7 linked regions of the Macaca fascicularis genome follow. The protein of the gene in region 1 purifies or fractionates together with the protein of each later gene. This does not show direct contact. Links are inferred from orthologs where the notes say so. Each region holds a gene or a part of one and is shown in the gene's direction. Other genes may lie near its edges. The genes, in order: COP1, RBX1, CUL4A, MVP, TRIB3, ETS2 and ETV5.

Region 1 (3,500 bases):
TGCTCACACAATGACAAAATTGCTGAACGATACGTTTCTCAGAGTGTATCTCCATTGTTAAGTATGCATTATTGTACTTGCTGTTCAGCATCTCAAATCCAAAATCCGAAATGCTCCAATGAAGCATTTGGAACTTTGATTGTCATGTTGCCGCTCCAAAAGCAAGGATTTGGGATTTTTGGATTTCAGATGTGCAACCTTTTAATATATTGAATGTAAGTATGTTGAACATTGTAACATTCAGGGATTGGCAGAATGGGTTTACAAAAAAATTAGAATCCAACTTTATGCTATCTACAAGAGATAGACTTTAGATTCACAGACACACGTAGGTTAAAGTAACAGGATGAAAAAAGATACACCATGTAAGTAGTAATCAACAAAAATGGTAGAATGGCAGTATTTAGGTCAAACAGAAAATACTTAGAGTAGAAACCGGTACTAGAAACAAAGACATTTTATAATGGTAAAAGGATGAATAGTGAAAACATACATCAATTATCAACACACCTAAAAACAAACTTTTTGTAGATACATGAAAAGAAAATCTACAGTATTTAAGGGAAAAGTAGATAATTTGACTGAAGTTGTTGAAAAATACTCCACTTTCGATATTTCATAGAAAAACTGGACAGAAAATCAGCAAAGTTATAGAAGTCTTGAATAACATTGTCAACCTGACATAACAAACATCCAAAGATCACTTCATCCAACAGTAGAAGAACACACATTCTTCTCAAGCAAGCTTTAAACAGTCTCCAGGTGAGACCATATTTAAGACTGAAAAAAAGTCAATAAATTTAAAGTGAAGACATACAAAACAGTTTTCTGTCAATAAAATGATTGAAGACGTACAAAACAGTTTTCTGACCAAAATGGAATTAAATTAAAAATCAACAATAGTTGCTTTGAGACATCTGCAAGTATTTGGAAATTACATGACACATTACTAAATATCTCATTAGTCAAAGAAGAAATAACAAAGGAAATGTAAAAGGATTTTAAACTGAATGAAAATGGAAACACATCGTATCACAATTTGTGGTGTCAGCCAAAGCAATGTTTGTAGAGAATTGTGTATCCTTAAGTGTCTGTCTTTAAGAAGAGTAACAAAGCTAACTGAAGACAAGCAGAAGGAAGGAAATAATAAAGATTATCATAGAAATTAGTGATAGAGACAGACAGGAATAGAGATTGCCTATGATGGTGGATGCCAAATGAGTGATCTTATTGGAGTGCAGAAATATTATAAAACTGATTTATGGTAATGGTTGAACTGCTGGTTAAATGTAGTAAAGATCATTGAATTGCATGCAATACTTTGAGCGTGTGTATTGTATATAAAATATGTCTAATTTTTTAAAGCAAATGTGGGAAATAAGATTATATAGCATTATGTTTATCCAGATGTCCCATAATGTTTATATTAACATTTTTTAATGACGCCACTAAAACATAGATTGATTTTTAAGTTTCCAATTATTTTGACCTCTTAATACTCTCTTTCTAGAGCCAGTCTTATTTTTGAAAAGAATTCCTTTTTCTTTGTTTTCTGGCTGTTAGAGATTAGACATTCTATGTGAAACTTTTAATGAAAAAACAAAAACCAGTTTAAATTAACTTTGCTTTCCATTTCTGCGTTTACTACATTTATCTAATTTTGTTTTGGTTTAGATCACTGTGTCCACTACTATGATCTTCGTAACACTAAACAGCCAATCATGGTATTCAAAGGACACCGTAAAGCAGTCTCTTACGCCAAGTTTGTGAGTGGTGAGGAAATTGTCTCTGCGTGAGTATTACTCCCCTCAGAGGTCAAGCTTAATACAGAGCTCTGTACTTAAACACCTACCAGTTTGTAATGTCACTGAAGATGTATGTAAACTGTAATGTTGGAGTATATGTGCTTTTTCTTAAATAGTATTTTTTTTATCTTGTCCAATTAAAATAGTGTGGATTCTGGTCTGTATTGTGCTCTACTATATGTAAATTGTGGATACAATCCTGAAGATACTGGTTTTTTAATATATGCTCCCCCCTTAACTCATCCTCCTATGTTTAATTGCATTTGAACTTCAGATTGGATTTTAGCTATTGTTTCTTAAGAAGAGATAAACAACATAGTCGATGCAATATAATGAGAAGTATTTTATTTATTAAAGTCAACTAATGTGTTATTGTATATTTTATCTAGTTGCAGTATAGTGGTAGAATTATTTTTGGTTTTAAATATTACTTGGTTGGCTTTTACACTGACATGTTCATTTCTCTGTGATTTCATGGTGATTTTAAATATGTTGAAAAGAAAACTTTTTTTTTTTTTTTGGCACAGAGTCTCGCTCTGTCACCCAGGCTGGAGTGCAGTGGCGTGATCTCAGCTCACTGCAGCCTCTGCCTCCCAGGTTCAGGTGATTCTCCTGCCTCAGCCTCCCAAGTAGCTGGGACTACAGGCACATGCTACCACTCCTGGCTAATTTTTGTATTTTGAGTAGAAACAGTTTCGCCATGTTGGCCAGGCTGGTCTTGAACTCCTGACCTCAAGTGATCTACCTGCCTCGGCCTACCAAAGTGCTGGGAATACAAGCGTGAGCCACCACGCCTGGCTGACAGATGAACATTCTAACTCAGTCTGGCTCCAGAGACTGCATTCTTAACCAGCAAACTGCATTGCCTCTAATTAGTAGTGATGAGTTTCGTGTCAAGAAATTTTAAATACATTCTTACTCTTTATACTTTTCCTCAGCTCTACAGACAGTCAGCTAAAACTGTGGAATGTAGGAAAACCGTACTGCCTACGTTCTTTCAAGGGTCATATCAATGAAAAAAACTTTGTAGGCCTGGCTTCCAATGGAGATTATATAGCTTGTGGTAAGTAAAACCATCGTTTCCAGGAACTTTTTAACAGGTATTTGTTATTGAAATTGAACTCAATGGAAATAGACTAAATATTAAGTCAGGAAATGGTGTGTGCACTCAGAAGATAGTATAATAGACATGATGCCCCAGCATTATTGATTTTCCTTGTGTTGTACTAGAAGAGCATTAGTCCTTCCCTTTTTTATTGTGTACAAACCCTGAACACCTCAAATACCTGAACACCTGATTTTTAACTGTTTTGTAGTTGTTCTCCATTATAACGTAATTCTTTAGATACTGCGTGGGAGACAGAAAAGGTTAAGTTCTGTTAGTAATATTTCCAATTTTGGAGACATTATATGTCTTCTTAAGCTTGATATTCATTTTCCCTTACCTGCTGTTCTCTCCATGAAGTAATCTATTTGCATAGTATTGATCTGTTATTCTAGGACTTTTATTGTTGATAATTTATACAAATTTAAATAAGAAATAGAAAAATCAAATTTGATATTATTCAAATGCTCTGATATATCTAATGCCTGAATATATGAGCTTTGATCATACTTTTAAATGACTTGGCCTTTATTCAGCAAAGTTGACTTTCTCCACATGTGTATGAGACTGCCAAAGCAAATATCTGGAAC
Region 2 (4,123 bases), on another chromosome or scaffold:
ACACAAAGTACAGGTGCTTGGGTCGGGCGCGGTGGCGCACTCCTGTGATCCTAGCACTTTGGGAGGTCGAAGTGGGAGGATCGCTTGAGCCGAGGAGTTCGAGACCAGCCTGGGAAACAGAGTGAGACCTTGTCTCTATTTAAAACAAAAAAAAATCGGCTCTAGCCTGTAATTCCAGCACTTTGGGAGGCCGAGGCAGGCGGATCACCTGAGGTCAGGAGTTCGAGACCGGCCTGGCCAACATGGTAAAAACCCGTTTCTACTAAAAATACAAAAGAGCCGGGCGTGGTGGCGGACACCTGTAATCCCAGCTACTAGGGAGGCTGAGGCAGGAGAATCGCTTGGACCCGGGAGGTGGAGGTTGCAGTGAGCCGAAATCGCGCCAGTGCACTCCAGCCTGGGCAGCAAGAGCGAAACTCCGTCTCAGAAAAACACCCCAAAAAGTCAGAATGCTTCACAAAAATTAAAGAAATACAGCGACTGCAGATGGGTCGGTTTCACTATAGCACAAGTAGCGGAAAGAGGACACAGACTGGGGAGAAATCACCCTACACAAGATGACAACTGAGGAATGAGGAGTGGGGACTGACACACGCCACGGTGAAACCGCGCACCACGACCAAAGGCGGTCCTAGGACTGCGACTAAGCGGGCGCAGAGGCCACCCTCCAGGCTTGGCGGGGGGATGAGGGCAGCACTGGGGGCCTGCTCAGTCTGGCCTTAGGGAGGACCTTCGGGGCTCTCCTCTCTCCCCATCGATCCCTGAGCAGTTCCCGAACAGAAATCGGAGACCAGACGGTGCCTGGGCCCCAGCCCTCCCACGCGGACTGCGCCTTGGGCCTGGCTCGGAGGTGGGTCAGAGTCTGCGAAAGACCAGCGAGGGCTCTCAGGTTTCGGGGCAGGCGGCGGGCGCCCACCCCGGCTAGCAATGGGAGTCGCGCGGCGACCGGGCGAGCCCGGTAGGCAGGACAGGACTGCGGCGCAGGTCCGACTCAGGCGGAGGAAGCAGCCGCCGCCCCAGCTGATGGAGTGCGGCCGGGGGCTTCCCAGAGGAGGCGGCGACCTCGAGCCCTTTCGAACGTTTCTACCAGGCTAGCTCACGTAGCCTCGGCCCCGCCCGGCCCCGCCCCACCCACTCCGGCCACCGCCCCCTCCCCGGCCGACACTTCGCGGGTGGGGCGACCTGCGATAGCCCCTTTAAGAGGCGTGGTCACGTGCTCCGCCCCCACCTCCCCCACGCGCGCCAGTAAGGGGTGGGGTGCGGGAGGAGGTGCCGGGGAGGCTGGGGGAACGAGGTGTGCGCTGCTGCGCAGGCGCGGTGGTCGGACGACAGACCGTGTGTTTCCAAAATGGCGGCAGCGATGGATGTGGATACCCCGAGCGGCACCAACAGCGGCGCGGGCAAGAAGCGCTTTGAAGTGAAAAAGGTTGGGTCTCGCCAGCGCCTTCCTCAGGGAAGCTAGAGAGGCGCGGATCTGGCTGGCAGGCCCGAGGATGGTCGAGGCGCGGAGTAAAGGGTTTCATTTTAGGGCGTTCCTGGGACCGGGTACCACGAAAGGAAGTCGGGGGGCGGGCCTTAGAGTTGATCGGCGTGACGGCGGCCCACTGTCAGGGGAAGTGTTGGTTTCGATGTGAGGCTGAGGGGCCAATCACAGAGCTGCTTGTTGAGATACGCGGGGTTGCGACTTGGCGGCGGGAGCCAAGCGCCTGAGCTGTCACTGGAGTGGTTGAGAGGTGGGGGAAGGTAGGGTGGGGTGGGGTGGGGTGGGGTGGGGTGGGGTGGGGTGGGTGGAATGGGGAGTCAGAGCGACTGCGGCGGTGGAGGATGGGGCAGTGCGGCGAAAGCCTGGAACCTGAGGTCCTACCGCATTGGAGGCCTCTGAGGAGCCCCGCTAGTGATCTTGCTCCGCCCCTTTTTGAAGCTTGCTTGGGGTCCTCTCACTTGAAGGGATCAGACTTGTTCCTCGCTGAACCGAGGCCTCCATTAACCCCATCTCTGGGCCTCACACCGCCGAGTTAGAGTCTGGAGTGTAATGCTTGGGTGTTCTGAGACGTCTGTTGGCTTTTCCCACAACCACCCCACTCTTGGATTCTCTGTCACGTTCAGAATCTCCCCCTTCCGAAATAATAATAAAAAGCACGGTGGAACTTGTTAAGAAAATCCGAGCCCAAATCCTGTGGCATTTCGGGAGGGTTGAGTAGTAGTTGCGAATGACTTGGTAAGAGGGGAAAGCAAAAATGGAACGTGTCTTTTGCATGAAATGCATTTTAGTGGTTTGCCACAGTTTGGGAGAAAAGTGTCGATTCCCACCTAACATGAAAACTATTCGAAATGGAGATTCTGAAATAGGGAAGATATTCCTGGAACATCTGGCTAAACACTGACAATATCCCCCCCTCCTAGTGCTTTTTGGTGTCTCATTGTGGCCACTGCTGCTCAGTTACAGCCAGCCATATTGAAGAATAATAGAAGTAGGGGCTTTTCCTCCAAGTTGAAGCTGTGATGTGAAAAGTGGTGAAGAAGTTACTAGGCACTGAGACTGGGGTTTGAAAGCGATGAAGGTTTGGGAGTACTTGTAATTGAGGAAACCAGAGTTGAATGAATGAAATGCCACTTTTAGTTAAACTCTTACTGGAATTATTATCTTAATAGAAGAGTCTAAACATATAAAAGTTCAGAACATCAGTTTATTTTATGGTAAGAATCGAACAAAATTCTAGTGAATTGTAGAATTTGTTATGAAGTAATCTAAGATTTAAGTGATGACCTTGTTCTGTGTACTGACATGGGCAGTTAATTATCCAGCTTATCCCACGATTACCCGTTTTATGATCCAGTCATCATCTTAGTTCATTCTGTTCCCTAGCTTTCACTTCATTGCTCATGCTTCCAAAGCTGCCTGGAAGAGCAGATACTTATTCAGATTTTGAGCGCTTCTGCAACTGCCACCAAAACCTGCACAGAAATTCAAGTTTGTGCTTTTTTTTTTTTTTTTTTTTTAGATGGAGTCTCACTCCATCGCCCAGGCTGGAGTGCAGTGGCACGATCTCGGCTCACTGCAACCTCTGTCCCCCAGATTCAAGCGATTCTCCTGCCTTAGCTTCCCAAATAGCTGGCATTATAGACACCCGCCACCAAGCCTGGCTAATTTTTGTATTTGTAGTAAAGACGGGGTTTCGCCATATTGGCCAGGCTGGTCTCGAACTCCTGACTTCAGGTGATCCACCCGCCTCAGCCTTCCAAAGTGCTAGGATTATGGGCGTGAGCCACTGCGTCCGGCCAGACTAAATTGTTTTAAACTACAGGAAACAAATTAAAAGATGACATTAATTTATGTGTTCATATACTCAGTCTTTTGGAGAATAGGAGAATGTATGTGTTGTCTACTGTTGTCTTTGGTATAATAAGATTAACATAATATCCAAAAACTTTTGTTTGGTGGTTCCCTGTGGCCAGAGATCATAACTACAACTGCAGCCTGAAGTCCTAAAAACTGTGTGTGTGTTATAAGGAGAATGCATTGTTCCCTCTTTTTGTCTTTGCAGTGGAATGCAGTAGCCCTCTGGGCCTGGGATATTGTGGTTGATAACTGTGCCATCTGCAGGAACCACATTATGGATCTTTGTAAGTAATTGGAGGAGGATGGGAGGAAGTTGAGAAGGTTGCAGAGCTTGTGGCTATCTTGATGTGACCGATTTTCTTCTTCACAAGCAGATATCAAGCCTACTCTGAGCACTCGGTCTTCTGTATCTAGTCTTTTGGTGTGTTTGAAATAGAGTAGTTTTTTTATGATGTCCTGGAGGCATACCCAGCTTTCAGAATAAATCTACTCAATCTAAAGATGGCAGGGACACATTTAGAATTAATTGTGGACAACAGGCACTGTTGATTCTTCCTGCATATCTCCCATCTTGTACCTAGACTCAAAGGTAGAAATACTGAAAGGAGGAAAATAAACTTTGAGCTAAAATATTCTATCTGAGGCGAGGCGTGGTGGCTCATGCTTGTAATCCCAGCACTTTGGGAGGCCAAGGCGGGCAACATGGTGAAACCCCGACTCTATTAAAAATGCAAAAATACTCTATTAAAAATGCAGAAATTAGCCGGGCGTGGTGGTGCATGC
Region 3 (3,500 bases), on another chromosome or scaffold:
GTTGAAGCAAAGCACGGAACCCCCAACATGGGTTTTGTGGACAGTCACTGGCAGCTGAAACATCTTCGTAACATTCCTCAGGCCGTGAGCTGAGGACTGCGATGAACTCTGAAAGCCGTGTGTCACCTTCTCTTCTTGGGAAAGCAGCAAACATTTGGTAGGAGAGCTCCCAGGGCTTGGAGAAGGGAAGCTGCTGGGATGTGCTCCGCAGAGGATATTGGGAAGAGAGTGTACCCTGAGGGCTGTTGCAGATGGTGGCAGGCAGGGCAGGTGGGGCAGGCAGGGTCGTGGTACCCGACTGAGCATCTCCAGTCACTCACCAGGAAGGTGGCAAGAACCCCGGGCTTCTGCCAGCAGATTATGTGATACCAATTTTGTTGTCAGTGGCATGCTTGGCCTAGCAATATCTCCAGGGACATGGAGCAGACAAGGCACACTAGACTGGCCGAAAAACAGAAGTTTTTAAAAAGAAATTGTTGGCACCTAGATGTAGAGAATTAGCTACTTCACATTTTTTGGATGATATTGAGTAGCATAGCTGGAGATAACACCCATAACTTCTAAAAAGCGAAACTAAAATGTATTGTTTCTTACTGTCTGTACAGGGATATGGGATTAGAACTGTTTAGAACCCATATTATTAGTGATAAAATGGTTCAAAGTAAAACTATTGATGGAATCCTGCTGCTGATCGAGCACGAGAGGAGCGGCGAGGCCGTGGACCGGAGCCTGCTGCGGAGCCTGCTGGGCATGCTGTCCGACCTGCAGGTGAGTGCTGCCTGTGCAGAAGATACCCGGGTACCTGCCCAGCTACTTGCACCAGAATAAATGGTTGTACCAAAGATGTTAAACAATGAAATCATAAAAGTGTTTGTTGAAGATAGAAGAGTCTTTAAAATCCCTAGGAGGGGAATGGCTCTCAAGCCAACACCACACCAGGTGCCACAAAAGGGAAGATGGATCAATATCACTATGTAAAATGCGCCTTTTTCATGGAAAATATACCACAAACAGACAAAACCAGATGACATACTCGGGGAGAATGTTAGCAACACACACAAAAGACAAAGGGTGAAGTTCTTTAGTGCAATGTGACCCCAAGGCACCGTAGGAAAAGAACAGAAGAGGGTCTGCCTGGCCGTTTTGGGAAGGACAGTGCAGCTGGCCGGCTGGGTGGCCACAGGCAGCTCCAAGTTCAGGTCATGGCAGCCTGCCCCGTCAGAAACTGGGATTTGTTAGCCCTTGAAAAGGTAGTTTCCTTTACTGAAATTGGTCAATAACTCTGCTCATTTCTTAGGTGTATAAAGATTCATTTGAACTGAAATTTTTGGAAGAGACTAACTGCTTATATGCTGCCGAAGGCCAAAGGTTAATGCAGGAAAGAGAGGTGAGATGATCGGATGCTTCCGAATCCCCTGGCTTCGTTTCTGCAGATGAGCATCTGGGAGGACTTTCCTCGTGTTTGCCTTTTCACACACACACAGATGTTTCATTGAAAATCTTCTGAAAGCTGCAGTCTTGCCAGAATCCCCAGTAATGAACTTCATTCTTAGTATACTAAGAATTTAGTTTATGTTAACTTAGAAACTATTGCCCTCCCCCCACAAGTAAAAATCTGTCAGATCGTTTCTGAAATAAGTAAAATAACTCAAATTTAAGCAAAATGATAAAAACATACACCTTAAAAATGAAAAATAAATACAAATGATAAAATTTTTTATTTGTGTGAAGCACTGCAAAAAATTTTCCCAAAAAAAGCCATGTGAAAAAACATATAGTAGTAATAGGAACCCAAAAAAACTTAACCACTTTTCCAGATACCAGAGCAAAATCATAAAGGAACCTGCCCCATAGACTGTCACCCAAATGGCACGTGCTGCTGCCCAGAATTGACCCTGGCCATTGGTTCCTTCATTCTGGCTTTGGAGAGGAAGTTTCATGTCAGATACTGAGCCCGGCTGCAGCTACCCCGGCAGAGCCTCAGGCCTTTCCTGCACTGTCTTGGGAAACATAGGTGTACTTTGAGGTCTCCTGCCACCATGTTGTTTGGTGTCCCCAGATGAACAGCCAGCTTGTTGACTTGCTTTTGCTGACCCATCTGTGCGGGGCAGGGTTGCCATTTAGCACCTCACCCTCCTACCAAGTGCTGCTCAGCTCCCTGTGGGCCCTGGGGATGGGAGAGGGTGTGCACAGACCCCAAAACTTAGTGGTGAGCAGGGACGAAAGAGAAGTGCAGCCTGGGCCCTGTTCTAGGATGGATGTTAATCTCGATCCTTTCTCCATGTCCCCCCAACACACTTGCATCCTACCTCTCCCTCCCTGTTAATCTGTGTTAATATTTGGCTTGAATACATATTCTGCTTTTCTTAAAAATTGCATATAAGGAAAATAAAATTTCAATCTCTTGGATAATGTTGACAGTCTTTTTGTTACTGATACGTTTGTTTTGTTTGGAAGGTTCCAGAATATCTTAACCATGTAAGTAAACGTTTAGAGGAAGAAGGAGACAGAGTGATCACTTACTTGGACCACGGCACACAGTAAGTACCGATCGCTCACCGAGCGTTCATGTCCTCACCACGGCTGGAGGGTTCTCCTGGCTGGTTATTGAAGTAAAGGGTGTCTCTGTCATTTCATTCAGCACTAAGAGTATTTTTGCACCTAGCATATTTTACTTTGTCATTTGTCCTTATTTGGCATTTACAAATTACAGTTTTTATCTAGTGCCTTGTCATAAGTTATTGTCTAAAGGGAGTAAATCTTGCTGAGATACTTGGCATCTTTGAGTTTTGAGATGGGCTATTTATGTTAACGGAGTATCACTGAATATTAGGCTATTTTGATTGTGCACTCATTTTATATCGCTTTAATTTTATTTATGGTGCTGTCACACAATTTTCTCTTTTCTTCTAATGTTTTTTTCCTGCAAACCTGAGGTTGATGAGTAGCTAGGGAAACAAAAAGGTTGAGATTATGTGAGTGTGCGTGTCAGGCACAGAATGTCCGTGTGATGGGAGGCAAGAACAGGGGCAGAGGGGACAGCAAGGGAGAGAAGTGAAAATGATACAGTGTGCAGCCGGGTGTGGTGGCTCACACCTGTAATCCCAGCACTTTGGGAGGCTGAGGTGGGTGGATCACGAGGTCAGGAGATCGAGATCATCCTGGCTAACCCAGTGAAACCCCATCTCTAGTAAAAATACAAAAAATTAGCCGGGCATGGTGGCGGGGGCCTGTAGTCCCAGCTACACGGGAGGCTGAGGCAGGAGAATGGCGTGAATCCGGGAGGCGGAGCTTGCAGTGAGCCAAGATCGCGCCACTGCACTCCAGCCTGGGTAGCAGAGGGAGACTCCATCTCAAAAAAAAGAAAAAGAAAATGATACAGTGTGCAGAACTGGGCCCCAGTAGGGAATGATAAAATGTACAGATGTGCAGAACAGGACTTGGTAGGACTCAGCAGAGAAAACAGGAAGGGAGATGAAAATGATACAATGTGCAGAACT
Region 4 (3,500 bases), on another chromosome or scaffold:
CTACTGTGTGATTCTCGACCCTGTCGGACCGGATGGCAAGAATCAGCTGGGGCAGAAGCGTGTGGTCAAGGTGAGGTCCCTACACCCCCCACAGAGGACTGTCCTGGGAGATGTATGCCCTCTAGTGGCAGGAGGCCCTCTGCCCTCTCTCCCTTCTCCTCCAGAGGCACGTTCTGGGAATACCTTCTGTGCCTTTACACGCTTAGTTCTTACACGCCTGAGACACTGGCCCATTTGGTTCCTGGCAGCCTCTAACTTACCCCTCAGACCTGAAGTTAATTCCCCTTCTGGGAAGGTCTCCTGGCTACCCTCTGCCTGAGACTCTGAAACTCTCTCTGATACAGTCATGTGCCACTTAATGTGGGGATACAGTCTGAGAAATGGTCCTTAGATGATTTTGTCTTTGTGCAAAAGAGTGCACTTATGCAAACCTAGATGGCACAGCCTACTATCACCTAAGCTAGATGGTGTAGCCTGCTCCTAGGCTGCCAACCTGTGCAGCATGTGACTGTCCTGAATACTGCAGGCAGCTGAACACAATGGTAAGTACTTACGTAGCTAGCCATAGAAAAGGTAAGAAAAACACAGTATGAAAGCTTCATTATCGGCCAGCAAGTGGCTCACGCCTGTAATCCCAGCACTTTGGGAGGCCAAGGCACGTGGATCACTTGGGGTCAAGAGTTCAAGACCAGCCTGGTCAACGTGGGGAAACCCTGTTTCTACTAAAAATACAAAAATTAGCCAGGTGTGGTTGTGGGTACCTGTAATTCCAGTTACTTGGGAGGCTGAGGCACAAGAATCACTTGAACCCCGGAGATCAAGCCTGCAGTGAGCCGAGATCGTGCCACTGCACTCCAACCTGGGCGACAGAGTGAGATTATCTCAAAAAAAAAAAGAGCTCCATTATAATCTTACGGGACCACCATGTGCAGTCTGTAGTGGACTGAACCATCACGCAGTGACTATACTTCACATCTTTTATATTCTGGTGTGCACTTTGCTTTGTCATCTTTCGTAAAACAAACCTCTTGGTTTACCCTCTCCCACCCCCTACCTCATCCCCTCTCTGAACTATATGTGGGAATACCAGGAGTTGCCAAACTCATTCTGTAAAGGGGGCTGGATGGTAGATATTCCGGGCTCTGTGAGTCATCGTTTCTGTGGAAGTTCTTCAACTCTGCTGTTATGTCAGGAAAGCAGCATGGGCAGTACGTAAACAAGTGAGTACTGCCATGTTTCTGGAATATTTTATTTGCAAAAACAGGAGGCAGAAAAAGTAGAAATAGGCCAGGCACGGTGGCTTACACCTGTAATCCCAGCACTTTGTGAGCCCAATGCGGGTGGATCACTTGAGATCAGGAGTTGGAAACCATCCTGGCCAACATGGCGAAACCCCTTCTGTACTAAAAATACAAAAAACAATTAGCTGGGCATGGTGTCAGGCACCTGTAAACCCAGCTTCTCTGGAGGCTGAGGCAGGAAAATCGCTTGAACCCGGGAGGCGGAGGTTGCAGTGAGCTGAGATAGCACCACTGCCCTCCAGCCTGGGTGACAGAGAAAGACTGTCTCAAAAAAAAAAAAAAAAAAAAGTAGAAATAACCCAAATGTACATATTTAATGAATGGATAAAAAATTGTAGCATATTCATACAATGGAATATCATTCAGCCATAAGAAAGAAATGGCAGGCTAGGCGCAGCAGCTCGTGACTATAATCCCAGTGCTTTGGGAGGCCAAAGTGGGAGGATTGCTTGAAGCCAGGAGTTCGAGACCAGCCTGGGTAACATAGTGAGACCCCATTTTTACAAAAACTTTAAAAAATTGGCGAGGCACGGTGGCACACCTGTAGTCCCAGGTACTTGGGAGGCTAAAGTGGGAAAATCGCTTGATCCCAGGAAGTGGAGGCTATAGTGAGCTAGGATTGTGCCACTGTACTTCAGCCTGAGGCAATAGAATGAGATCCTGTCTCTAGGAAAAAAGAAAAGAAAAGAAAGAAATGACATACTTATAGGTGATACAACATGGATAAAATTGAAAACGTTATGCTAAGTGAAAGAAGCCGGCCGGATGCGGTGGCTCACGCCTGTAATCCTAACACTTTAGGAGGCTGAGGCAGGCATATCACCTGAGGTCAGGAGTTCAAGACCAGCCTGGCCAACATGGTGAAACACCATCTCTGCTAAAACACAAAAATTAGCTGGGCATGATGGCGGGTGCCTGTAGTCCCAGCTACTGCTCGGGAGGCTGAGACGGGAGGATCCCTTGAACCCGGGAGACAGTTGTTGCGGTGAGCTAAGATCCCACCACTGCACTCCAGCCTGGGCTGCTGAGCGAGACTCCATCTCAAAAAAAAAAAAAAAAAAAAAAGCCAGACATGAAAGACCACATATTGACATATTGCATGATTCCATTTATATGAAATGTCCAGAATAGGTAAACACATAAAATAGACTAGTGATGGGTGGGGTGGGTGGGGAGTAGAAGTAACTTCTAGGTACAGGATTTCTTTTCAGGGTGATGATGAAAATATTCTAGACTTAACATAGTAGTGATGGTTGGACAACTCTGAGTATACTAAAACAACTGAATTGTGAATTGTATACTCTAGGTGGGAAAATTTCATATGTGGATTATATCTCAATAAAATTAAAAAAAAAAAAAAAAAACAGGCAGTGCTGGGCATGATGGCCCACGTTTATAATCCCAGCACTTCGGGAAGTTGAGGTGGGCAGATCGCTTGAGTCCAGGACTTTGAGACCAGCCTAGGCAACATGGCAAAACCCCATCATCTACGAAGCACACAAAAATTAGCTGGGTGTGGTGACGCGCATCTGTAGTCCCAGCTCTTTGGGAGGCTGTGCTGGAAGGATTGCTCGAGCCTGGAAGGTTGAGGCTGCAGAGAGCTGAGATCATGCCACTGCACTCCAGCCTGGCCAATAGAGCAAGACTGTCTCAAAAAAAAAAAAAAAAAAAAAAAAAGGCAGAATCCAGATTTGGCCTGAAAACCAGAGTTTGTTGAGCCCTAGGTTACACCATCTCTAGAAAACAAAGCCTGGGAGAAAGAAGAAAAAACAGGTTGATTTTTTTAATGGTTTAGCGTGCGTGGATCCAGGTTCTGACAGTTTATGGAATCTTTCAAGGACACGTTTGAGCAGATGAGATTCGGCAGACGTTTGTGTAGAGCCTCACAGTCCAGACGGTGCCTCACTGTATTATGATGTGGGGGTGGTGGCGGGCTTCTGGGGCTCCTGTCCTCCACACAGGCCTGAGACAGCGCGGGGCTGGGGAGGTGCCATCGGAGGCACCCGCAACCCTAAAGGCCCTGCCCCTAACCGCACGTCTCCCCACTAGGGAGAGAAGTCTTTCTTCCTCCAGCCGGGAGAGCAGCTGGAACAAGGCATCCAGGATGTATACGTGCTGTCGGAGCAGCAAGGGCTGCTGCTGAGGGCCCTGCAGCCCCTGGAGGAGGGGGAGGATGAAGAGAAGGTCTCACACCAGGCT
Region 5 (3,943 bases), on another chromosome or scaffold:
CTACGTCGCCCAGGCTGTTCTTAAACTCCTGGCCTCAAGCAATCCTCCCGTCTTGGCCTCTCAAAGTGCTAGGATTACAGACATGAGCCAGCTCGCCCAGCTGAGGAGTTATATTTTGACACTAGTGAATTCAGATCAAAAGGGATTTCTAAGAAAGGTGCTGGACCCCTGGGACGCAGAGGGATGTTTCACCCCAAAGGAAGTAGCACCAAGCCCTCCCAGGCCTAGGGTGCAAGCATATTAAAGGCCTCTTTCCCTCTCTGTCTCCATTGTCTACACTCCATTGAGCATCCGCAATGTGCCACACACTGTTCTAAGCGTCTTACACATATTACATTATTTAATCCTCACAATAACTTTATGAAGTGAGCACAATTATGAGCCCATTTTATTGAAAAGGAAATTGAGGCAGGGTTTTAGGTAGCTTTTCTGGGGTAGCACTGTGGGTTGGAGGGGAAGGTGGAGTGCACTCTTAGGCCAGCTGGCTCTAGGGGCTCTTCGCCACTAGGCCGCACTGCCTCTAGCAAAGGAACGCGGGGAAGTTCACCAGACCTTAGGCCTCCCCAGGGTGCCACAGTGGTTCTTTTGAGCCCAGAGTCAGCTCTTAGGTCCATAGGCCTTCCTGAAGCTTCTGGACCACTTGCCCACAGCTGGGCCTCAGGCTGGCTCTCAGTAGAAGGGGGAGAATGGAGATTGCCAGATGTCCACTTCTCCTAAAGGTTTTATAAGGCGGTGCTGGTAATGTGCTTTACAAAAGGGGAAGCACCCGGACAACAGTCACTGTTTGCTCTTTTGAGCACCATCCCGAGAAGGAGGAATGTTCTTCCCATTTCATAGGTGGGGAAAGTAAGGCTCAGAAAAGCAAATGTTTTTTTCCAAGGTGATAGGGAGAGTCCGTGGCTGGTGTCTGCACTGAGACCAGACAACCCTAGTGGGCCAACAAGGGCGGGGTCCCCAGGTGCAGCGGAGGAGAGAGGCCCTGGCGGAGCGCGCCCTGGCGGCGACCCGGTGAGGCGGGGCGCGGGGATGGTGCAATCCTGGGCCTGAGGGCATCAGACGGCGGCTGATTAGCTCAGGTTTACATCACCCAGGCTGGGAGCCGGGAGCGCACGAGACTCGCAGCGGAAGTGGGGGCGGCTCCGCACACGTCCGCTGTTAGGACCCGGGCCGGGCTGGAGCTGGACCGGGATCCCGAGCTCGGCAGCAGCGAAGCGGGCCGGCCCACCTGCTGGTACCCTAGAGGCTCTGAGCACCGGCGGCGCCAGGACCCACGCGGGACGGCAGGACAAGGTACTCGGCGGGGTGCGGACTGTGGACTTGCCCGGAGCCTGGGGGATTGGAGCGGGCGGCCGGGGAAGGGGCGCCGGGAGGCTCTGCGCCTCTGCGTGTTGCTGCGTGTTACGCGCGCACACACACAACACCCCTTTTAACAGACTCTGCCGTCGGGGGACACCCTGGGCCTAGTGCTCCCCCCGGGCTTCAGGTGACGCGGCCCCGCAGGGCGTGGGGTCGCCCGAGTTTGGCTGGGGAAGCCAGGGACGGAGGTGTCCGGCTGTCATCCCTAGAGGAGGGTGTGCGAGGGTCTGTTTTGCGTGAGTGTGGGACAGGGGAGTCGTGTGGTGAGGTGAGGGGCTTGTGGGGGGCACTGGAGGACTCTTTATGGGGGTGTCGGAGGATCTGCGGGGGATCTGCGGGGGTCCTCGGGAACCCGTAGGAGAGAGTTCTGGGTGAGGGTGGGTCCCGGGGACCTGTGCCTCCGGGGATGGTGAGAACTGTCTGGAGGGCTGGGCACTTGGTGGCAGGGGTTGGAGGTGCAGAGGACACGGCCGGGAGAGGGCTGGGTGGGGTGCCCTGGGAGCGAACTGAGCGAGTGGTGCGGGAGCCGAACGAGTGGGAGCGAAGTCGCAGCGCGGGATCCCCGGCCGGGCAGCGCCGCTGGTTCTTCCCGCTGCGTGGCTCCGGGTTTGCAGGTGGAAGGTGCGCGTGTGTTTGCGGTGTGTGCTGTGCCTGCAGACCGGGGAGGGCGGGGGACGACAGCCACCTCTTTCCCTCTGCCTCACCCCCTCCTGTCCCAGGGCCGCCCTTCAATTTCCGCTGAAACTTCTGACTGGGACACCGCCGCCTTTCGCTTTCGCTCCCGCTGAAGGGGCCTGGCTGCGGGGGGCGGGGCGGGGGGTGGTGGGGCCGGCCTTGCTTGTGTAGACCATGGGTGTGATAGCTGGGAGGGCTGTGTGTGTGTGTGTGCGCGCTAACGCTTACCCGTGGAGGGCAAGGGTGTGTCACTTAATGTCTGTCTTCCCTGGATGTGTTGTCGCTGGCTGGCTTAGACAGTGTCTCAGGGGTGTGTGTACACCTGTGAGCGCGCGCACGCTTGATGTAACCCGCCCTCATTTCCCTGGGTCTCGAGTATGGCAGGAAACAGCAAGAGGTAGATATTAGGGGCTGCTTTCATTCCACAGCACAGATTCTATTCTGCAGTGTGGTCTGCAAAATGCCTTGCCCAAGATTTATAGACTCAGTTACCCCATCTGTCCCCATCTGGGTGGAGCTTATCCCAGGCCCCAACAGGCTCTGAGGGATGACTGGGGCCAAGGCAGCCTGGAGTACTGATGTGGCACAGGCCAGAGGGACTCCAGGCAGTCTCCTGCTGCACAGGGCACAAAGCATGTGCACGGCCAGGTAGCATCCTGCGGGACTCAGAACAGCCTTGAGACTGTTCTGTCATCCCAGCCTCGAACCTGGGGAGCTTTCTAAGACTCCCAAGGATGGTACTTAAGCATCTTGCTGTGAAGAACAACAGGATGAGTGCTAATAGTGACCATTTCCTGACACCTACCCTGCAACAGGTCTATAAGCTCTACGTGCTTCATTTGTTTTTTCATTTCATCATCACTAAAAACCTGTAAACTTTGCATCCTGTTCCCACTTTACAGGAACTGAGGCTCAGAAAGCTTGAGGAACTTGACCAGGGGTACCCCCCAGCTAGAAAGGGTCTGAGACAGGATTAGAACCCAGGAATATCTGACTAAGCCACTCCTTACTGCGTTCTTACCAAGCCAAAGTCATGACCTTTCACTCATGTGGGGAGACCTTCCCTTCCAAGGCAGCTCTTCCGTTTAGGAGCCGCGTACTTGGAGAGGTGGGCCTCTGTCTGGTAACTGACTCATGTTTCCCTGTTCATCCTGCCTTGAACTGTTGGGAAGGTCTTTCACCAGGCTGAGGTCCCTCTCGCACCAGTGCTCAGACCTGGGCATGCACATCCTTGGAATGGAGTTTAAGTGGGTGGGCAGATGGGTTCTAGAGAGAACCTTCCTGCCCTGACATGCCCTACTGCCCTCTCCTTCAGCCACCCCACACACAGTCACACAGCTGCGTGGATGGTGGCTTTCTTTTCATTTAACAGTTCACTCTGGAGATCCTTTCGATTAGGCTATAAACAGCGTCCTCAACCTTTTAAATGGCTGCAAATTTTTCCGTTGTGTGGATGAAGTATAATTTATGTAACCAGCCCTGTAATTATAGACAGCAAATTATTTCTGTCACAAGGGCTGCAGGATAACTTTGTATTTGCATGCTTACACAAGCACACTTCTACAGGATACATTCTAGCAATGGGATTAATTGCTGAATCAAAACTCACACACTTCATTTTTTTTGTTTGTTTGTCTTTTTGAGACATTCTCACTTTGTCACCCAGGCTAGAGTGCCTAACCATGGCTCACTGAAGTCTTTACCTTCTGGGGTCAAGTGATTCCCCTACTTCAACTTCCTGCATGGCTGGGACCACAGGTGTGTGCCATTATGACCAGATAATTTTTTTTTTCTTAGGGACAGAGTCTCGCTATGTTGCCTAGGCTGGTCTTGAACTCCTGGGCTCAAGTGATCTTCCTGCCTCAGCCTCCCAAAGTGCTGGGATTACAGGCATGAAGCACTGCACCCAGCC
Region 6 (3,500 bases), on another chromosome or scaffold:
AGGGAGGGAGGAAGGGAGGGAGGAAGGAAGGAAAAGAAAGCACTTTTATAGAATTCAGGGAACTAGTCCTCACCTGACTGATTTTAAACACACTGAATTTTAGCATCAACTATAGACTCAGAATCTCAAAACCACCTAGGATTCAACAGCTAACTTTTTTTAGTTACGGCTTCTGAGGGCCAGGGAAACTCATTTTTAAAGACTCTCATTTTTTCTGAACTTGGACAGGGCTTTTCTACCAAGTTTCTGGTGATCTGTTCATTGGCAAATTGGGCCTGTTTTGCCATTCCTCGGGCCTGTGAGTTTGTGTGTGTTTGAGTTTCCAGGTGCACGTATACTTTGTAATATATTCGTATTAAGTGTGTATACACAGTGCACAAACCTTTTCCCTTTCAAAGTTCTTGGGCAGTTGTCTTAGCCATCCCAGACTCCCACAGCCCTGGAGACCTCCTACACCCTGGGGAAGCGTGCAGGTTTGGAAGCAATGGGACTGTAAGCTTCACGGGGGCAGACACCATCCATTTTATTAATTTCCTGTATGCAGCCTCTGGTACAGATGGCATTTCATAAATACTTAAATGTTTCTTGAATGCATGAATGAATTCAATACACCATCTGGACCTTTTGCAATAGAAAATTTAATGTTGCCAATGACATCATTCATTTTGGAAAATGTATTTTAGTAATTAGAAAAATGGGTTGCTTTCTCTCGTGTTTTGAAAAAGACAGGCAGGACGTGGAGCACCATGAGATTAAATGTGAAGCACTCCATGCATGTCATCATTCTAAAATTATCGTCTCACAGGAATTCAGAAAGTCAATTTGTTCTTGTGTAGTTTTCACCTACATCTGCCATCTTATGTCTCCTGTGTCTGCTTTTCAGAAAACCAAGAAAAGACAGAAGATCAATATGAAGAAAATTCACACCTCACCTCCGTTCCTCATTGGATTAACAGCAATACAATAGGTCAGTCCGACTGATTCTGCCCTTAAGAACTTGGTCTTCAGTCTCCCCAGTAGACTTGGACTCTCTGTTGTAGGCTCCTAAGGGGCCACCTAGACCTGTGTGTGTCTCTCATGGTGGCCACACGTGGGTGGTTGAGCCATAAGCTGTTGAAATGTGACTGGTCCACATTGAGATGTGTAGGAAGAGTATAGTCATGCACGCCAGATTTGGAAGTCTTAGTATGAAACAGAGAATATAAAATGTCTCCCTGATAATTTTTAACGTATTGATTACATATTGAAATGATAATTGCTACATGAGGCCAAGTAAAATAAGAAAATTAACTTCACCTGTTTCTTTTTGCTTTTTTAATATGGCCACTAGAACATTCACAATTGCTTAAGTGGCTCACACGATCTTCCATAGGTCAGCACTGTTAGTACTAGTCCAGGCAATTCTTAGAGCAAGGAGCAGAACGAAGTGAGCTGGTTACCGCAGTCACCACCTGTTGGTCTAGTGTAGCAAACAAGAGGTGGCGGGCACAGAGTGTGTGGGAAGCAATTTGTAAACTGGCTTTGAACTTGGGAGCTTAAAGAGCTGTCATGGAATCTAGGTCCTTGCTTCCGATTGCTGGTTCTGGGGAGGACACATGGTCTGGCCAGGCCAGCGTGGGAGGGTTCCTTGGAACAGCAGGCTTGGGTGGTGTTGGTCCGGCCCAGTGTTTTCTCTCTGGCCCCAGCTCCACCATTCGGACCCAGTGAAGCCCACCTCTCTGCCCCACTGGGGGCTTCCTGCTCCGGGGGTCTTTCTGAACGTGGTACAGTGAGACACCCTGTGCCTGCCTGAGTCTGAATCAGAGTCAGAGAGCTTCCTTCCCTCTCCAGAAAATAAATGATTCTGCAAAGAACAGAGACAGGAGCAGTGTGATGAAGGAGCAGACAGCAGAGTGGGCTGTGCCTCAGCACACAGGGTTCGTGGCCTGGCTCTGCTCCTTATGCATCACACAGTGCATGACACATCACCTCGTCTCTCTGAGCCTTACTCTCCTTGGAAGCTGCAAGAGCCAGTGAGCCCTGTCCTCCTGAGGGTCCCATGAAAGCGCTAGAAATAGGGACATTGAGTCCTGCCTACAAAGGCTGCAGTCATTTTGGCAAAGGGCTGCTGGTTGAGAAGATGAAAGGTTTGAGAAGAAGGCTTGGTGACAGACCCCCACCAAAGCCCGGGTGTCCACTGAGGTTCTGCAGAGGGCTGGAGTGTGCGGAGTGCTCACCTGTCATTGGCTCTGAGGGGTTAGTTACTGTGGTAATACTGACTTTAAGAGCTCTGTCGTCCGATTGTTCTGTCCCAGGTTTTGGCACGGAGCAGACGCCCTACGGAATGCAGACACAGAATTACCCCAAAGGCGGCCTCCTGGACAGCATGTGTCCAGCCTCCACACCCAGCGTACTCAGCTCTGAGCAGGAGTTTCAGATGTTCCCCAAGTCTCGGCTCAGCTCCGTCAGCGTCACCTACTGCTCTGTCAGTCAGGACTTCCCAGGCAGCAACTTGAATTTGCTCACCAACAATTCTGGTAAGATTGGAAGCATCTTTCAACAAGGCTGTTGGTTTGATTCTGAGAACCCCAGAGCCATCATGAACCTCTTAATAAATACTTCCTGAGTTCAGCCATTACAGAAGGAGGTCAAAGCCCATGTTCTAAGTGGATTTCCAACAAGCATACCCCTAATATGTTTCAGGTGCTGGCCCAGGTACTGCAGGCATTGAGTAAACAAAACACAATCCCTGCTCTCACAGCCAGATTTCTCCACGCTTCAGGATATTTATGGTGGTGATGCGGGAATGTGGCATTTCTTTTTATGGAGATGTAACATAAATACAGTGCACAAATCTCAGGTCATATGGCTGGTTGAATTTGTGTACGTATGTATACCTATGTAACAACCATCCAGATGGAGATAGAGAAGTTTCCAGTAACCTGGACGGTTCCTTCGTACCCCTTCCCATCAATATCATCCCCCCACAGAAGGGAACCATTCTGACTTTTATCATCATGGATTAGGTTTTGATTTTCTTGAACTTTACATAGATGGAATCATGCGGTATGTTTTCTTTTGTGTTTGTCTTTTACTCATCATGAGGCCTGGGATTCATGCATGTTGTTGGATGTAGCAGCTATGTGTTCTTTTTCATCGCTGTATAGTATTCCATTATAAGAATTTTATTCATTCTACTGTTGATGGAAGATAGGATTTGTGTAGCATAGTTACCCTAAGGAATAGGCACCTGAGTAGAGAGCATTTTGAGAAGTCTGAGTGGTTCTACACCAGCAGGTGCATGATTGCACTGGTAGTGGTTGGTGATGCTGTGGTCGTGCCCAAGACCAACCATGCCCTAGAGGAATCAAAGTATGTGCTTGGTTGTCTTTGCCAGGGACGCCCAAAGACCATGACTCCCCTGAGAACGGTGCAGACAGCTTCGAGAGCTCAGATTCCCTCCTCCAGTCCTGGAACAGCCAGTCGTCCTTGCTGGATGTGCAACGGGTTCCTTCCTTCGA
Region 7 (3,500 bases), on another chromosome or scaffold:
TTTTGTATTTTTAGTAGAGACGGTTTTCACCGTGTTGGCCAGGACGGTCTCAATCTCTTGACCTCCTGATCCGCCCACCTTGGCCTCCCAAATTGCTGGGATTACAGGCGTGAGCCACCACCATGCCTGGCCAATTTTTTTTGTAGTTTAGTAGACATGGGGTTTTGTCATGTTGGCCGGGTTGGTCTTGAACTCCTGACCTCAAGCAATCTGCCCACCTCGGCCTCCCAAAGTGCTGGGATTACTGGCATGAGCCATAATTCCTGGCCTGGTTTCACTTTTTATATTGGAACCTTTAATCCATGTGAAATTTATTTTGGTATCTGTATAAAATGGGGTCTTTTTCCCCAACTAACTTGAAATGCTAACCTTAACAAGTAGTAAATTTTGAAATATACTTGACGGTTTTTGGCTTGCCACTAAATTCCTTTGATCTGCCTATCTCTCAATTCCTTGTATTACTGTTTTAATTAGTGTAGTTTTATGACATATGTCAATAGCTAGTGGGTCCTTTTGTCCTTTCAAAATAAAGTTTAGAATCATTTGGTCAAGTTAGTTGCGAAGGCATTTGCTTTTACAGATTAATTTTCAGTGAATCAATAGCTTCAAAGTCCTAAATATCTTCTCTTAGATCTTTTTTCTTTCTTTTCCTCAGAGAACAATTTTAAGATTTTATTCTTATATGGCCTATACGTTTCCTGATTATTCCTAGGAATGTTATGTTTTTTATTGCTACTGTGAATGGGATTCTCTCCTTTTTAACTACATTTTCTAACTGATTAGTTTGTATTCAGTCTTTAAAAATTCCTTCTATCTGTAGGTGAGAGAATGGATGAACTAGTGAACAAATATTTATGTATATGTTAGTGCTATTTGCAAATAATTGGTCTCATATATTCATATACATAATCTGGCCCATCTTTACAGATAGACTGTGCATACAGTATACATACATGAAAGAAAAAGAGGCTACCACATCATTGCTTTGATTTTTTTTTTTTTTTTTTTTTTTTTTTTTGCCACTTCCTGACTCAAGAGCTTCGAAATACACAATGTAATTTTGGGAAGAAGGTAAAAATGTCCAGAAATAAGCATTATTAAATATCTTGCAAATAATTTCATTAATTGGAACTTCTTCTAGTCCCCAGTGCTCAATCATAGTAGGTATTCATCAAGTCTTTGTTCACCACGAAAACCTCTTTCTTCTTACAGATTTCAGAGACAACTGTCTGAACCCTGCCACCCCTTCCCTCCTCAGCCAGGAGTTCCTGGAGATAATCGCCCCAGTTACCATCGGCAAATGTCAGAGCCTATTGTCCCTGCAGCTCCCCCGCCCCCTCAGGGATTCAAACAAGAATACCATGACCCACTCTATGAACATGGGGTCCCAGCCATGCCAGGGCCCCCAGCACACGGGTTCCAGTCACCAATGGGAATCAAGCAGGAGCCTCGGGATTACTGCGTCGATTCAGGTCAGCATCAAATTGTGCTATTCGTTGCTTCATTCTTGCTTTCTTCTGTCTCGTTATTCAGTGTCTTATACATGCAGGGCCTTGGGGACAGGAATTTTTATAAGAATTTTTTGTAATTTTTATAAGAATTGCCCTCAAATAACTTAGGAGCTAGTAGAGCTGACGTGTTTATGCACAACGGAATACAAAACAAAACGGAAAAGGTATGTAAGTGGTAGGAAGTGCAGTAGGCATTCAGAAGTGGTATGAAGTACATCTCTGAGTCCAAGCTTGAAGAGTGTTGGGGTTCAGTTTTGGATGGAATTTGCTCTTGACCTTCTCTGAGATAATACGTAGATTGATCTATTCAGGCACCAATTGGTTATGGGAAACACTGATAACATGATGCTTGAAGAAGAGGTCACTTGAGTGTGGTTTGGTTTCAGTGTGACAGTCCCAGCATGGCAAAAATGGACCAAACTGCAATCCTGTACCCCCCTTCCAATGCTGGTCCTGGCGTCCTAACTTCAGGTCTGCTAATCCCTTTGGCCTAAAAATACTCCCACCTCTTGGAGCAGAATTGGATGTGACCACGAGGAGTAAAGGGGAGCAAATTGGGAAAGATCTGAAGCAGTCATATTCCCCTTCCCACCCTAACACCCAGGAGTCAGCATGGGGCAAGAGGCCAGGCTTGGCCTTTTGAAAGCTAATATTTTTTCCACTATCATTGGCTCTTTCACCAGATTTGGTGTTAACTAATTGCTAAAATGAGTGAACAACGAGAGTGAAACATCTTTTTCTTTCCTCCCGTGACTCTTGAGTAGGAGAGCCTGCCTTTCAGATGGTGGGTTGTGGTGTTTGCCATCTTGCTTAGTGGTGTGGCACCTCTTTCCCAGGACAAAGCCAAAAAGACATGACCCCAGAGCGTTTAGGGGCTTTACCACAGAGCTGCAGTTGACCGATGTGCTGTGTCTGCTGCAGAAACTATTGACAGGATTGTGTCCACCTTTGCTTTCCTTTCAGAAGTGCCTAACTGTCAGTCATCCTACATGAGAGGGGGTTATTTCTCCAGCAGCCATGAAGGTAAGGAGCCTGCTTTCTTTCCTCTCCTCTCCTTTCTTCCTTTCTTTTTCTCTTTCTTTCTCCTACCTTCCTTCCTTCCTCTTTCTTTCTTTCCTTGAATAATACTCAAGCTTAAAATTGCTCAGTTTCCAGGCTAAGATTTGAGATCATAGATTAAACCTTGCTTAGCTCATGAATATAAGAGCTAATTGGTTGCAATCTTCAATTATTTTGCAGGCAGGGTTTAAGGCATGCCCCTGAGCCCTGTGAGGGCTGCCATTTTCATTAGCAATGACCCCAACTTTTTAAGAGGATAGGACAATTTGGAGAAAAAACAAACCCACCGTATTTCCACAATTCCAGAAATGAAGGTTATGTTTATATAACAATATCAGCTTAAACTGGAATTTAGGAGTTATGTCAGTGAGAGTGGTTTTTATACATTTTATAGTTATGTCAGTGAGGGTCCAAGGATGTCTTAGAGTTTTAAAAATGTGTCTCTAGGTTTTTTACTTAGTTTGAGTGCTCGGGGTGGGTAACTCTTCATTGTAATTATTATTATATGATAAATGGTTGCCACTTTTAACATGGGGGGGAAATTGAAGGTATTCTTCACCAACCTTGACACATATCCTAACATTTACTTTTATGTGAAGATGATCATTTTATATCAACGGTATATGTTATCTGCTCAAGTTCTTGTGCCCAATCCCTTTGGGACCAACTCAATTCAGTAAGTCTCTGAGATAATCTCACCTAATGAGGAGCAGGAGCAGTGGGCAAGGTTGAGCCTGTGACTTTGCCTTTATTAGTGCTGACCTACCAATTAGGTGAAAGTAATTGGGAACAAATAAGATGCATAAGTGTTCCATAGCATATGGCTTCAAGGAAGTAGTCAGAATGGAGCTAGAATGTCAGTTTCTTGGAGGAGCTTGCTTTTTTGAGACGTAGTCTCGCTCTGTCACCCAGACTGGAGTGCAGTGGCGT

The links.
Region 2: the proteins of COP1 (region 1) and RBX1 purify together in Homo sapiens (affinity purification with western blotting; 3 studies listed by BioGRID, with this or other methods). This does not show direct contact. The link is inferred for Macaca fascicularis from reciprocal best matches to the Homo sapiens genes COP1 and RBX1.
Region 3: the proteins of COP1 (region 1) and CUL4A purify together in Homo sapiens (affinity purification with western blotting; 9 studies listed by BioGRID and IntAct, with this or other methods). This does not show direct contact. The link is inferred for Macaca fascicularis from reciprocal best matches to the Homo sapiens genes COP1 and CUL4A.
Region 4: the proteins of COP1 (region 1) and MVP purify together in Homo sapiens (affinity purification with mass spectrometry; 3 studies listed by BioGRID and IntAct, with this or other methods). This does not show direct contact. The link is inferred for Macaca fascicularis from reciprocal best matches to the Homo sapiens genes COP1 and MVP.
Region 5: the proteins of COP1 (region 1) and TRIB3 purify together in Homo sapiens (affinity purification with mass spectrometry; 5 studies listed by BioGRID and IntAct, counting the BioPlex papers as one, with this or other methods). This does not show direct contact. The link is inferred for Macaca fascicularis from reciprocal best matches to the Homo sapiens genes COP1 and TRIB3.
Region 6: the proteins of COP1 (region 1) and ETS2 purify together in Homo sapiens (affinity purification with western blotting; 3 studies listed by BioGRID and IntAct, with this or other methods). This does not show direct contact. The link is inferred for Macaca fascicularis from reciprocal best matches to the Homo sapiens genes COP1 and ETS2.
Region 7: the proteins of COP1 (region 1) and ETV5 purify together in Homo sapiens (affinity purification with mass spectrometry; 6 studies listed by BioGRID and IntAct, counting the BioPlex papers as one, with this or other methods). This does not show direct contact. The link is inferred for Macaca fascicularis from reciprocal best matches to the Homo sapiens genes COP1 and ETV5.

Annotation. Positions count from the first base shown.
Region 1 is NC_088375.1:33,568,958-33,572,457, reverse strand, and holds part of COP1 (E3 ubiquitin-protein ligase COP1), read left to right. Parts: intron 1-1,674; coding exon 1,675-1,792; intron 1,793-2,743; coding exon 2,744-2,868; intron 2,869-3,500. UniProt on the Homo sapiens protein: E3 ubiquitin-protein ligase that mediates ubiquitination and subsequent proteasomal degradation of target proteins.
Region 2 is NC_088384.1:10,679,339-10,683,461, reverse strand, and holds the start of RBX1 (E3 ubiquitin-protein ligase RBX1), read left to right. Parts: upstream 1-1,323; 5' UTR 1,324-1,348; coding exon 1,349-1,426; intron 1,427-3,545; coding exon 3,546-3,624; intron 3,625-4,123. UniProt on the Homo sapiens protein: E3 ubiquitin ligase component of multiple cullin-RING-based E3 ubiquitin-protein ligase (CRLs) complexes which mediate the ubiquitination and subsequent proteasomal degradation of target proteins, including proteins involved in cell cycle progression, signal transduction, transcription and transcription-coupled nucleotide excision repair.
Region 3 is NC_088391.1:103,648,873-103,652,372, forward strand, and holds part of CUL4A (cullin-4A), read left to right. Parts: intron 1-605; coding exon 606-768; intron 769-1,297; coding exon 1,298-1,387; intron 1,388-2,455; exon of another isoform or gene 2,456-2,457; coding exon 2,458-2,540; intron 2,541-3,500. UniProt on the Homo sapiens protein: Core component of multiple cullin-RING-based E3 ubiquitin-protein ligase complexes which mediate the ubiquitination of target proteins. As a scaffold protein may contribute to catalysis through positioning of the substrate and the ubiquitin-conjugating enzyme.
Region 4 is NC_088394.1:28,264,186-28,267,685, reverse strand, and holds part of MVP (major vault protein), read left to right. Parts: coding exon 1-70; intron 71-3,350; coding exon 3,351-3,500. UniProt on the Homo sapiens protein: Required for normal vault structure. Vaults are multi-subunit structures that may act as scaffolds for proteins involved in signal transduction. Vaults may also play a role in nucleo-cytoplasmic transport.
Region 5 is NC_088384.1:87,031,323-87,035,265, reverse strand, and holds the start of TRIB3 (tribbles homolog 3), read left to right. Parts: upstream 1-1,143; 5' UTR 1,144-1,217; intron 1,218-1,257; 5' UTR 1,258-1,290; intron 1,291-3,943. UniProt on the Homo sapiens protein: Inactive protein kinase which acts as a regulator of the integrated stress response (ISR), a process for adaptation to various stress. Inhibits the transcriptional activity of DDIT3/CHOP and is involved in DDIT3/CHOP-dependent cell death during ER stress.
Region 6 is NC_088377.1:8,175,763-8,179,262, reverse strand, and holds part of ETS2 (protein C-ets-2), read left to right. Parts: intron 1-883; coding exon 884-967; intron 968-2,294; coding exon 2,295-2,516; intron 2,517-3,376; coding exon 3,377-3,500. UniProt on the Homo sapiens protein: Transcription factor activating transcription. Binds specifically the DNA GGAA/T core motif (Ets-binding site or EBS) in gene promoters and stimulates transcription.
Region 7 is NC_088376.1:98,016,795-98,020,294, reverse strand, and holds part of ETV5 (ETS translocation variant 5), read left to right. Parts: intron 1-1,212; coding exon 1,213-1,472; intron 1,473-2,474; coding exon 2,475-2,534; intron 2,535-3,500. UniProt on the Homo sapiens protein: Binds to DNA sequences containing the consensus nucleotide core sequence 5'-GGAA.-3'.